2 linked regions of the Drosophila melanogaster genome follow. The protein of the gene in region 2 interacts with the protein of the main gene of each other region in a pairwise test. Each region holds a gene or a part of one and is shown on either strand. Other genes may lie near its edges.

Region 1 (5,237 bases), on a different chromosome or scaffold from region 2:
TCTAGATCTTAGGGATTATAAAAGCAATAAGGTTGAGATTAAATATACAGTTTCTAGAGACATAGACGCAGTGCGAGCTTGTTGCCACGGTCACTCTAACGTCCACAAACCGCCCAAAACTGCCACGCCCACAGTTTTGAAAAATATATTTTTATTTTTTGATTTCTCCCCATAACGGTCGCGACCATGCCTTTGAACAATTTAAAATTTTTCTTTTTTTATTTCCCAATGCCAAAAACTGTTGAAATTTTCCGTTCGCTTTTCCCCTAGCTGACTGATTTGTAGTTGATAGGATCCACCGACACCGGGACATTTGCACCACTCTATAATAAATATTAACCCGTGTATTAACCCATATGACAAATTTAATATCATCGCATATGTAATGCATATGCAAAATATATTTTTTATATTTTTTATATATTATATTACAAACACACTTTCAACAAAATATTTTAATTAATAAATAAAAGATTAAATGATGTAGATGTAGAAACTTGACCCTATAAGCATATATAAGCGCAGGATCACTTAAAAGGTCCGATTGTCCGTATTAACACCGATATCTCGGAAACTGTAAAAGATAAAAGAGAAAGAAGAATGCAGCGCATGCATGCATGTACGCATCGATCAAAAGTTATAATAGGGTACCAGATTCGATGAAAAAAAACCCTAAAAGTATATATATATTCTTGACCAGGATAACTAGATTCGATCCGTATGAATCCGTCTGTCCGTATGAACGCCTCGATTATTAAACATTCAGATTCCAGATACATTCCAGAGACGTATCATAAATACGCCCACTCTAATGCCCAAAACTGCCATGCACAAACTTTTCGATTTATTTTGTCTTTCTGATCGATTCTATCGATAGTCCTAAAAATGTTGAACTTTCTCGTTTGCACTCTTAAGCTTAAAAAATTCTTCATAAAAAAAATTTTCAATTATTTTTTAATGATTCGAGTGGTTTGTTCAACGAAGAAACATTTTAACATGCATTTTTTGACTATTCCGGTGGAATAGTACGCATGTACGCATGATATTTTACAAATATTGTACAATATTTACGCAAGACATGTCGCGGAAGTATAAACATTCTCTTTTGGTCCAGAAAAATGTTAAAAAGAACTCAAGGTTTCATAATTCATAACGGACGTGCCTGATCGGCTCTGCTAGTGATCCTAAATACATATGTAAGTAAGCATATTCAAGATCATCTCGGGTCGCATACATTCTACTATAGCGAACATAAAAAATATTACACACATAATATTGGGAAAAGCTTAATCGGTTTGCACATTCAAAAAATTTTATTTAATGACAATGTGATACGAATAATATTATACATATATTTTTGTATTTATAGATATTTTTGATATCTCCGAATACAAATATTGAGTAGTTATTGGGAAAACAAAGGATCTACTTTTAAATGTTGAGTCCACGATGCTTGCCTGTAGGTATTTCGGTTCAAAAGAGACATTGTGATAGTTTTGTACCAGTTTAATTACTATAATATTTCTGATCATTCTGCAGACAATGGGATGTGGAACTTGCCGTGTTGGATCTTTTAACATCCGTCGGCAGTAATACAAAAATAATGAAAGATGATTGCCCAAGCTGCACCCACACAAAACAAAGGCACACACACATGCATAACAACAGGCAGAAATTAAATAAGGAAAAGAGAGGCTCGCTGTGAAAGCATAAAGCACATTGGTACACCGTTTTATCACATCATCTCCCGTCTCGCTCTAACGTAATTACCACTCTGCGTGGCAATAATTACCCCATTACGGAAATCTCCCAAAGTCTCTCAGTGTCTCTCTTGAATGTTGATTTGTACGCATGACTCGATTCTGTTCGGCTCGGTCGGACTTTCGGAGAATAAAGAAGAGGAGAGCAGAGCTCGAGAGCCCCGGAGAGCATTAACCAGCAAGTAAACAAGTAAGCCTGCCTCTCAGCTCAGTCGAAAAAAAACGTTGAATGAGTCAGATGCGGGTCGGATGGTGAGTTTTAGAGCTCTCAAAGATGCGGTTTCGCTGTAGATCTTCATTATGATATATTTGCCGTTGGCGTGACTGTGAGACTAAATGTGACTGTGACTATTCGCTGGTTAAATGCGCTAAAACATAAAAAGTGACATAGTAAAAAACAACCAAAGAGTGAAACTAACTGCAATCTGAAATGTGTTACCTCTGTAATCAATCATTCACTGCTAGCCCAATCCCAATTCTGCGAATAGTGATATCTATGTAAAGTTCGATATGGGTGCGCGTTGTTATACGGCGTCTACTTGAGTTTTATATTTACTTTTTACTTTTGCGTTGTGTCGAACAGAGTATCACAAAAAAAACCTATAATGGCAAGAATGAAGAACACCGTGAACCTTTCGACCAGTTTCAAAAAAATGCATTGCGAGATCAGCCCAACTTCCTGCCCATACCTGCAAATGGATACATTCGATTAGAGTAAATAACAACCATGCCGGAACAATTCTGCGGCACTTCTTCGTAAAATATTCAGTTCGCTTCTGCTACATGTTTAAATCAGTCGGAAATATGGGTGCATGCTAACGGTGCAGTTCCGAGCAGAAAACAATACACTCACCCTTATCCTTATGTGTGAGGTGCATTGGTATTGGAGTTCTGGTCCCTAGCAACAAAAACTTCAATCCGTAGACAAAAGCAGAGTTTCATTCCACTTCCAATGAGGACAATCCTGCACTATTTTGTTTGATGTATCGAAGCTATCGAAAACGGATTCCGTCCGGGAATAGTTTTTTATTTTTAATTGCATTATGTGCCAAACGATCCCAGCCGAGTAAAGCCGAGCTGCCTTGAGCTGAGAGCAACGAGGGTGTGCGAACGGAAGTCGCAGGAAGGAAAGAAGCTGAAAAGAGCACACCACAGGCACAGGAAAGGGTGCTGTGCCGCGCTAGTCGGTTGTTGGATGTTCTCTATGAATTGCCTTCAGCGATTTAATGAGCACGTGGTCCACGAGAGAAGTATATGCAAAAACGCTGTGTGTCTATTTCTGTCTCTGTCTTGGTCTTGATAGCTCTCCCCTCTTCGTCGCGGTGTCTGCACTGGGGTGGGCGGATGGCAAGTGATGGGAGGGAAAGGAAGCAGAACTTCCCACTTGTGATTGTGCTTGTGACTGTGCGTGTGTGAAAATGTGTGTATAAAAAAGAGACAACTGTCTCGCTTGCGATATAAGCAGCCAACTAGGAGTAAAAGTGTTTATATTAAAATGCAAAATCCCAAGAAGTTGGCAAATTAAATCAAGGGGCGTAACGCGCGCGAACACACTCTCCTTGCACTCATCCAATTCGCTCGATTTGCTCTCTTGAAATTTGCACACATTGCAGATATAATTACAAGTGTAAGAAAAAAAGACATTTAACATAGTTTTCAGCACCCGTTCGTTCTATATAAAAAAAAGATTTTGTGTGAAAGTTAATGTCTTTTCAAGCCATTGTGAATTTCTTTTATTTGGTCTTTAGTACAATCATTCTTTCAAAAAACTGGAGCCATATATGTATGTACAGTGATAAAGTGGTAAAGTCCTTGGCAAAACTACTTTTGTGTTGCCAACTGACTGCTGTGGGTCGATCACCTTTCGACTGTCACCTGCCACTGGTCACGGCAATTTCACCCGCATACACCTGTATACATATGTACATAAACTGGCACATCAGGGTTTTTACTTAATTGGGTTCTTTTTAAGCCTTGCTGTTGCCTGCCGGCTTCTCCCTAACATCCTGTCTATTGACCACCTGTCTCAAGTTGATGGCTTCACATAAATGCAAAATCAAAACCGCAAACCCTATTGAGAGAGACCGTATTTGAGGGTCAGTAAAATATGTAACCAATAATTTATATATAAAATATACCAATGTCTGAAGAACTTTGCACAATTCGAATGTATAACACTAACTTGTAATAGCTAAATATTTCAGGTGAAAATAATAATAAAATTGTTCACAAAATTACTCTTTAGGTGCCGCAGGCTAATTATCTCGCCCAAATCCACGAGCGCTCGATTCAAAAGTTCCTATAATATTTAAGCCTAAAGTTAAACATAACATAGTACAAACTATCGCCGCTAACTTAAAGTAATTCACGATTGAACTAGCTAATAACCCAACTTACTCCAAGTCTAAACGCTCGCAAACATACATAAGTGCAAAAACAAAAACAGCAAGGAGAAATCGAACGCCCTTATTTGAAGGATCTTCATTTCAATCGTCGAATGGCTTAAGGATTCAACTTTTCATAAGGACCTCAAGTGAGTACAATATTAGATTTGGTAAGGGTATGTTGTCTAGTTGTATGCGCAAAATTGGTCCTTTGTATACAAATAATCATATCATAGCCTCCAGAAGATATGGATAAAAAATATGTCTCGATAGTATTTTATTTTCAAGTACAAACCAGTTACGAATCTTATTTTATATATGAATAAAACAAGAACGTATTCATTATTCGTGTATATCGACTATATATACCCTCATAGCCGTCTATAAGACATCATTACCTCAGTTATACAATCAGCAATACCTCATAACACAATGAATTTTCGGTTACACCTTTCATGTTGAGTCCCAAATACTATAGATCAACAATGACGGTTAATGAGAAAATATATATATTGTTTCCATTTTATTTCTATGACATTTTTTTTATTAATGAGTCCGATTCGTTTCGACATATTTACGTATATACTAAATACAATAGAAAGAATATTTTCGGGAAAAGTTAATGCTTTAATAGCTTATAGCCTTAAATCTGAGAGAGTATTTGGCGTAGGAACAAGCAGGCAAACTGACTATATAAGCTCGGCTGTTTTTGCTGATCAAGAATATACCTTCACTACATTGCATACTTCTGAGAAAAATTGCATATAGTGTAGGCAATAAGAACGCCTATATGTAAGTTAAATATCATTAAATAAGTTCGTATTTAACAGCAAAGGCTGCAAATTAAGAACGAACAAGTATTTGCAAACATTATTGTCTGCGGAATTAGTGTTTCGTATAAGCGCACCAAATAATAGCTATTGGTTCATCATGTCAAGTCACCCATTGGAACATTTTAATTACTTAAAGACTTCTAATTAGCCAATGACGATGAAGCTCTCACAGAGAGGTGGAAGGGGATTACTAGTCCCTTGTGCTTTGAGTCTTGAGAGTTGGTTCAACGAACGAATTGAACTTTACCGAAATAAGCTGA
Region 2 (7,900 bases):
AACATTTTGGAAGTGCTAAGCACGGAGGGTTATCAATCGGAGTGTTCTTTGTCACTTTTCCATGGAGTAATTGAGTGTGTGCATCCATACCGCATGTTTGTCTGGAAGCTAGGATATTCTAGATTCACGACTAGGTTCTAGATCTATTGAACCTATTTAAACGGTGTAACATGCTAGTATGGCGTCCATCCTGATGTGCGGAATAAAGTGTACTTAGATGATCCATGCGCTGTTCGTTTGTGCTTACTATTCTATTATAAAATAATAGACCTCTCCACCAGACACACAGTTCTTATTAATCATCTTTCCATTTAAGTGGACATGACTTAAGAAAATGTGTTATCTGGTTTCCAGGTAATCAAATTTTTTAGGTTCCATATTATTTTATTCTTACATTTTCTGAATATACAATTTATTTTATGAAAATAATTTATATATTTACACGCAATCAAAAATTTATGCACTAAAATCTAAATATAAAAAGTTATCAATATTATATTTCAAAAACAATTAATTGATAACTAATTAATATATACTTAAACTAACTTCTTCCTTTTCTAAATTAATTAACAACAATTGGCTGCCGTTATAAAATCGATTTATTTACATTCCATTTCTCAAATGTTGTACAAATTTTTGAAGAATGTAGCTAATTCGAAAATGTAATACATTATTGTGGGTTTAATGTATGTTCTCTTTATCAATCTAACCGCATTACGAACTATCTATTAAAAATTATTATTCCTCCGGTTAAGGTTGTTATAAGATGGGTTCAAATTGGTGTTGAAGTTGAAGAGTGACGACGTTGTCAGATCGTTTCGCAAAACGCTGCTTGGGTTGATTGCCGGTAGTTTAGAGCCGAATTGACTATTATATCCGCCGGATCCGCCAAATCCACGATCAGTCGGATACGCGTTCGAAGTGAAGGGGTTAGCTAAGTTAGTGCTTTGTTGGTTGTTAAATCGAGCCACATTTCCGGAGTAGTTTTGACCAGTATACTCACTGGTCGGATTGTTGTTTAAATTTCTGGATGAATGTTGTGTCAACAAATTATCATTGTTATTGGAATTGGGAATCAAGTTAGTAGAAGTGCTGGGCACTGAATTCACGGAACTGGTTGAGAGTGGGATGTCCTGGCGTTTCTTCTGCTCAATCATCGTATATACCTGAAGTATCTTTTGAAGTTCCTCTCGGTTTATAGATGTTTTGCCTTGGGACACCAATGAAGAAGCCAGTTTTGCCGCAAGCTCAGTTTTATCTAATGGTTTATCGAGGTTATGCGGTAAGTTTTTGGCTATCTGCAACTCTGGTTTCTCAGCGAGCTGCTCTATATCTTTGGATTTGTTAAGTTTACTGGCACATTGAAGCAACCGTTCGGTGTCATTAATAGCTCTCTTCAAAGCCCTTTCTTTAGCGGGATCATAAATATGGGAGATCAAGAGACCAGTAAATTTTTCTTTAACGGTCTCCAAAATAGCACAGTTTTCGGCTGTTAAAATTGAAGTATGCAACTTTTGTGGACAAATCTTCTGCGATTGCAGAGCTTTTACTAGCATCTCGGTAACAAAAGGACCCAGACTTCCGAGATAATTCTCCAAAGCAGTTAAAAGACGAAGGACATGAATCACATTCGGCGGCTCCTCAACCGGAGTCTCTACATCAACAGACACTTTCTGCGGTTCAATGCTAGATTCCGGTCTGCGCTCATCATCGGGCTCATCAGTTTTGTCCAAATGAACGTGATACTTTTCGTCCTCCAATTCGTTATTGGTCATTGGCAGACATAGCCGTTCGCGACACTTTATTTTGATATTTTCAATATCTTGACTGTACAATTCTTCGATACGAGCATTAAAGAAATTAATCCATTCGTTTTGGAAGTTGTACGTGCGATGATTAATGCCAGCCAGTATAAGCTCATCCTTGCGGCGCTTCCAAAACATTTGCCACTCAGCTTGATAACTCGGATGCTGTTCGGGATCAGATTTGTATGTGTCGAAGGACACGTTTAGCTCACGCACCTTGAGATCTACCATGTGACGGTACGCCTGCCAAATGTCGCCATCGCGCAAAGGCGACACTGACCTACGCTCCACATTCCAGTGCCTTTTGGGGGCGACCCTCTTTCTTTGATCAGGTGATTTGGATCTTGAGCGGTTCCGCTTTGCGTTCCGGGACTTCTGTGCATCGCCCGAACCATGTCTGGTGTCCCTAAGAAAATTATCGACCATTCGCTTGTGAGTTTCATCATCAATAGGGGGTGCTGTATTATTTTGGGGCACATTCTGATAGCCCGCATACTGTGGTACGTATGGAGGGACGTAGTAAGGATTCGAATTTTCAACGTTTATCAAGGGCTGAACGTTGGTTCTAATCTTGTCGATCAACTCCTCCACCTCTTTAGCATCTACGACGTGGGTGAACAAAGGCCCAATCTTTTCAGACGAGTGCTTTCTATTGTATACCTGGGTGAACAAACTCTGGCGATCTTTCGAATAGACATGTTCATAGCACAGATGGGCGTTTTTTCGACCATGGTGCGTTTCAATGGCATGTGCAAGCTTATCAAAAATGGGCATCATTATTTTGCACACCTCGCTCTCCGGAACATGGGACACATACTGACGGTACAGACGCATTGCAGTGGGGAAATGCTTGTCAAAATACTTTAAACGGTGGTTATAGCCAAGCAAATGGTTGTGCATGGATTGCTCATCAGCAGTGATCTCGCAGAGGCAACATTGATATCTGGCATTGTTGTCAGCCAAGGTCTTAACTATTTTCAAAACGTACTCTACCCCAACGAGACCCATGACATGACCTTTCCTGGATTCAAATGTGCCACCAGGTCTAGCTGTTGTGTAATCCTTGGGTGCAACATATGAAGGCTTAACTACCTTATTGATAGTAGGGCGCACAGGTTGTGCAACAACATTGATTGGCTTCTTGGCCGCAATAACAGGCTTCGGGTTTGACGTTTGAACTGGAATGGGTTTTTTCGGTGTTTCTGGCGGTTTTGTAGCCTCTTTTGGCAAATCGTCAATGATTACGAGATCTTTCTCGCGCTCTGGTGTAGAGTTTATAAGCTTGGCTAGCGGAACACAAGATATTTTCGTGGCAAGCGGATTTTTGACTATATCTGGATCAGTCGTTTTGCTGCGAGCCAAGTCCGCGTTATTCGATTTAGCATTCTGCACAGCTTTCGTCGACTGTGGCTTTGATGGAGTCTGTGAGGGAATTTGAACAGTTGGCTTTGTTTGCTCTAATGGTTGCTTTTCAATCTGAACATTTACTGCTTGCTGAGAAGTAGTATTGCTCACAGTAGTTTTTGGAGCAGGACCTCCAGAATTCTGTGAAGTTTTCGCTGTATTCATTGCAGACTGTGGAGCCTTTTTATTAGCAGTGTTATTTGCGTTGGCCGCATTCACATTTGCCTTCTTGGCTTGAATATTTCCCGGGTTTGGGTTAGGTCTTTTCTTCGCGTTTGCGCCAATAATAGGAACACTCGTTTGTACGGGTGCATTATTCCCTGTGTTTTTCTTAACAGGCGTATTATTTACTGATGTATTCTTTTGATTGGGTGGACTGTTTTCTGGCACATTCTTTTGAATGTTTGTTGTGCTATTCTGAATATTTTTTTGAGTGTTTGGATTATTTACTACCTTAGGGGTAGCAGTGCTTTTCGTTTTACCGCCCATTGCAGGTTTTTTATTTTGCGTCGGCTGTGTTTTTGCAACTTCATTTCCAGCTGCCTGCTTAACAACGTTAGTGTTTGCATTATTATTTTGATTTGGTACATTTTTGTTTATAATTGGCAAATTTTTAACAGCAGGAGATTGACTGTTTTTGTTATTATTCGCATTGGTGTTAGGGCCCTTTTTTGTGGGTGGAGCTACACTGGGCTTGTTTCTTATTTGCAATTGCTCTTTGAGTTTCATTACGGCAATATGTTTTTTACCACTAAGGTGGCTAAACAAATTTTTGTCGCCGAACTGAACAACACGGCAAATATTACAATTGTATTTCCGAAGCGGGTATGAGGGGGTTACCAATGTTTCCCATTTGCTAGTTGGATTGTTACGGAATTCAAGTTGTAATATTTCCTCCAATGATATTTTTGACAACATATCAAGAAATTTGGTCCCATCCATGGGTTTGTTTTCAATGTTTTTGGTATTCATTTTGTGGTTGTAATACCTTTAAACATTAAACAGTTTTCATGTGGCTCGGAGAAAGTTAATTTTTCTTTCGGTTTTGATACAAATTTGATTTTTCTTTTGATTTCAGATATTGAGATGCTATAAAATTGAAGGAAAAAATGTTTTTTATATAGAATTTAAGCAGTAATAACAAAAAGTTAGTCTTACTCTATTAAGCTGATTTTCTATTGATCTACGAAATCAGTAAATACTAAATTTCTTAGACTACGGCATACAGTTCAAATTAGAAAAGTCGGTAAAAATTTAGGAATATGCGATTACATTTATAGGAATTATACAGTCCTGGCCTTTCATGACGTCTATTTCTTTCGGCAATACAATTATATGACTACATGCGCTAAAATTATGACCCAGCAAAAGAGGACTATGCCATAACTAGTGGAACTTATTGAAATACAATGTCAGCTCCTTAACTCGGTTATGAAAAGCATTGAACTTAATTGAAGCGTTATGTAGTCAAAAAGCAGGGTTTCTGTTGCCTTTGCTTGAATTTAGCATACTATGCGGGTAAAACAAAAATATAAATGTCGCATATTAAAAAGTTAATATTTTCTTTTTTAGATCAGCAAATAGATGCTTTTTAAAATTCATTCGATATGGTAAACTCGCATCTTGACTCCACTTTCATAAAAAGTTGAAATCGATAATGATGTTAAATTACTCATATATAGTAAATCAGCTTTGTATTTGTAATTAAATACACATTCTTTAAAAAGTACCTGTCCAAAGGGCATAATTCTTGCTGATGCCTGAGATTAGTCAACTGCTTTTTTTGCAGAACAAGCCCCTTTTTTTGCTGAGTAGAAGGTTTTATGTGAATGTATCCTTCTTTTACAGCCGGAAATCCAAGATCCATGCTACATTTCTACCAAGTGTATGAAATGTTTCACATCACTTGTTTCCATTTGTGATACGCTACCATATAAGGAACATACCTACTGAGGGTGCAAAAGTAACAGTTAGGCCAGACGTTATCTATGAGAAGGGGTAGAACCACCCCTGGAAAACTCGGATAAAAACCAAAAGTCGACATATGCATAAAAGCAATAGGAGCCGCATTGCCTGACCGAATATGATAATATTGTCGATTTCTGCGCGACACAGCTCCAAAAAAGGTAGAACAAAAAAGTCCGTAAATGACATCACGATATTTTTGGCAAGTTTTTAAAGCAAATTGGTTTTCTCACTTAAAAACTTTCAAAAACATGCCTGCCAAAGCCAGTTTTGCGCAGCTGAAGAGGTCAAGGTAAAATCCATTTAGAGAACAGTAAAATCCCCAAGCTCCAAAAAAAAAAAAAACAAACAAACGAAATTCACAAGAACTGCATATAGCAGGCGAAGATATTGATTTTTTTGTTTATGCATGTCCCGCGTTCACATGAGGAAATGGGGAAACCAACTGAAACACACACACTTAGACTTAGCCTTATGAATAACTTATGAATATTATCGAAATGGATATGTGTGGATTGTATCTTATTTGAGGACTCACCGGCGAAACGCAAACGCGGCCCTCTAACCACTTGCAAATACTTGGGGGCCCGTTGGACGTAAATGTGGATGGGGGCTATTGGGTGCTCGATATCCCTCTCCTCTTCGTCGCTTCCAATATTCCAATTCGATGACAGTCGCTGCTTCGCTCGTCTGCTCTCTCGCGGTTCGGTACGCAATGGCCACAATTCACGATGGACTCGCTTTCAATTACAAGGATAATTTGCCTTTACTTAAATTTATTACTTGCATCAGGCCGAAGAGGACAGAGAATTTCGATGGCAACGCATCAAAGAAACAAATGTCACATTTGTCTCTACGGGCCCAAAAGTTGTTCTCCTTCTGGCGATGGGCCGACTGCTAGAGCTGGTAGTGACCTCTACCTGCAATCGATTAATCGATTGAGTACATTTCGGTATTATTTATGAAATGGAAATTTAAATATAATGTGAAATTTTTTGATATAGAGTGAATTATTATAAATATGGAAATCAATAATTACCATTCACATTTTACGTTATTTCAAAACAATCGATAATTACCATTATTCTGTACAGTTGCTCGTTACTCACCATTTGGTATCTATCGGTTAAACATTTATAATAATATTTGGTTATATTAATAAAATTGCAACACCTTCAAAATAGTTTAAATTTGTTATACATTTTTAAGGTATAACTTTTCCTAAATTATTGTAAATATACATATATGGTTTATTTAAGGCTGTAAATTATCAAATCCCTTTTCAAAAACCAACCATTGTTCAGAAAATATAAATTATATATTTTAATTTTTACAGATATATACTGATATTGAACCGGCAACTATCGATTGTCGAAATGCAATTAGCGGAGAAACATATCGTGGCCCTTATGTTTCCTGCAATCGATGTTTCTACCTTCACTTTCGTTTCCGGCGTGGTGCGTAAGTTGCTCCGCGTTTTCGCAATTTTAAGCGATTATCACTTTGTTTGAACTCTAGGCCGGCCATGTGCCTATAAGTTAACAGCAAAGCATATCGTCGCCATTGGGACCAAAGTAACTCTCAAATCTGGTTCAATTTTAATCCGTAGAAATTTTACATCATGGACAATTCTGGAAATAACCGCTACGAGCTGTTGTTCATGGACGACGATGACTCCTCTGGGCTCGCACAGCCACAGATTGCCGCTGTAGTCGCGGCGCCCAAGAAGCCGGAACCGGCAAAGGCGCCAAAGGCACCAAAGAGCAAGTCGGAGAAGGAGAACAAGCCGGTTGTGGCTGCCCGCAAGGCCAACGCTCCGGTGGCTAAAAACGCTAGTCCAGTGAAAGGCGGCAAGGGTCCCGCTGGCGGGGATGTGGGTCGTCCCAAGAACCCAACAGCAAACGGTGCCAACAACCAGGGCAGGTTCAACAACAACCAACGCTACGGAAATAAGGAGTCGAACGGAGAATTCGGAAACGAGTTGCCGCAGCGTCAATTCAACAATCGTGACAACAGGGGACCACCACGCGTCCGTACCGGCGAGAAGTTCGGAAAGCGCGAGTTCGATCGCCAGTCGGGATCCGATAGAACTGGTAATTATGTCTAGATTCTTCTGTCCTTGGTTTTCGTGTTTGCTTCTCAAGTGAATCCGTTTTTTCTGCGTGGAAAATGCTGCCCTGTAATGGCGGCATGCTGCAAAATATAGAGAAAACGCAACCCTTGGCAACAAGATTGATTACATATCGCGTATTTCTCACGTGACTTTTAGGCATTTGTAATACGCAAAACGTTTGAAAACGTGTTTGTAAATATTAATTTTAAATGATGAAATAATGAAATTACTGCGTTGCAAACTCGTGTGTTCACACATGTGTTTTCTTGGACATTTTTTTGTTTGATTTTTTTGATTTTTGATCTTATAATTTATTAATTTATTAATTCGTTACCGAAAATATAAAATTCGTTTGGTTAAACTTTTAATTTGTCTTATACGGCAAACATTTTCCCGAAAATCCTCTTTACTCATATCGATTGAAGCCTATTAATAGCTGATTTATTCTCCACAGGCGTCAAGTCAATTGACAAGCGCGAAGGCGGTGGTGCCCACAACTGGGGCTCCCCGAAGCAGGACATTGAGGACTTAAAGACGACCGGGGAGACCTCACCGCAGGCGGAAAAGGAGGACTCGGCCAACGAACAGTCGGCTGATCCCGCGGTCGCCGCCG

Evidence for each region.
Region 1: the proteins of CG31510 (region 2) and zfh2 interact in a two-hybrid assay, tested with the Drosophila melanogaster proteins (one large-scale study listed by BioGRID).

Annotation. Positions count from the first base shown.
Region 1 is NC_004353.4:499,846-505,082, forward strand, and holds the start of zfh2 (Zn finger homeodomain 2), read left to right. Parts: upstream 1-1,964; 5' UTR 1,965-2,012; intron 2,013-4,005; 5' UTR 4,006-4,293; intron 4,294-5,237.
Region 2 is NT_033777.3:25,116,849-25,124,748, forward strand, and holds CG31510 (uncharacterized protein), read right to left. Parts: upstream 6,073-7,900; 5' UTR 5,713-6,072; intron 4,299-5,712; 5' UTR 4,182-4,298; coding exon 729-4,181; 3' UTR 370-728; downstream 1-369. Other genes in the region: vig2, read left to right, coding at 6,551-6,631, 6,784-7,267, 7,742-7,900.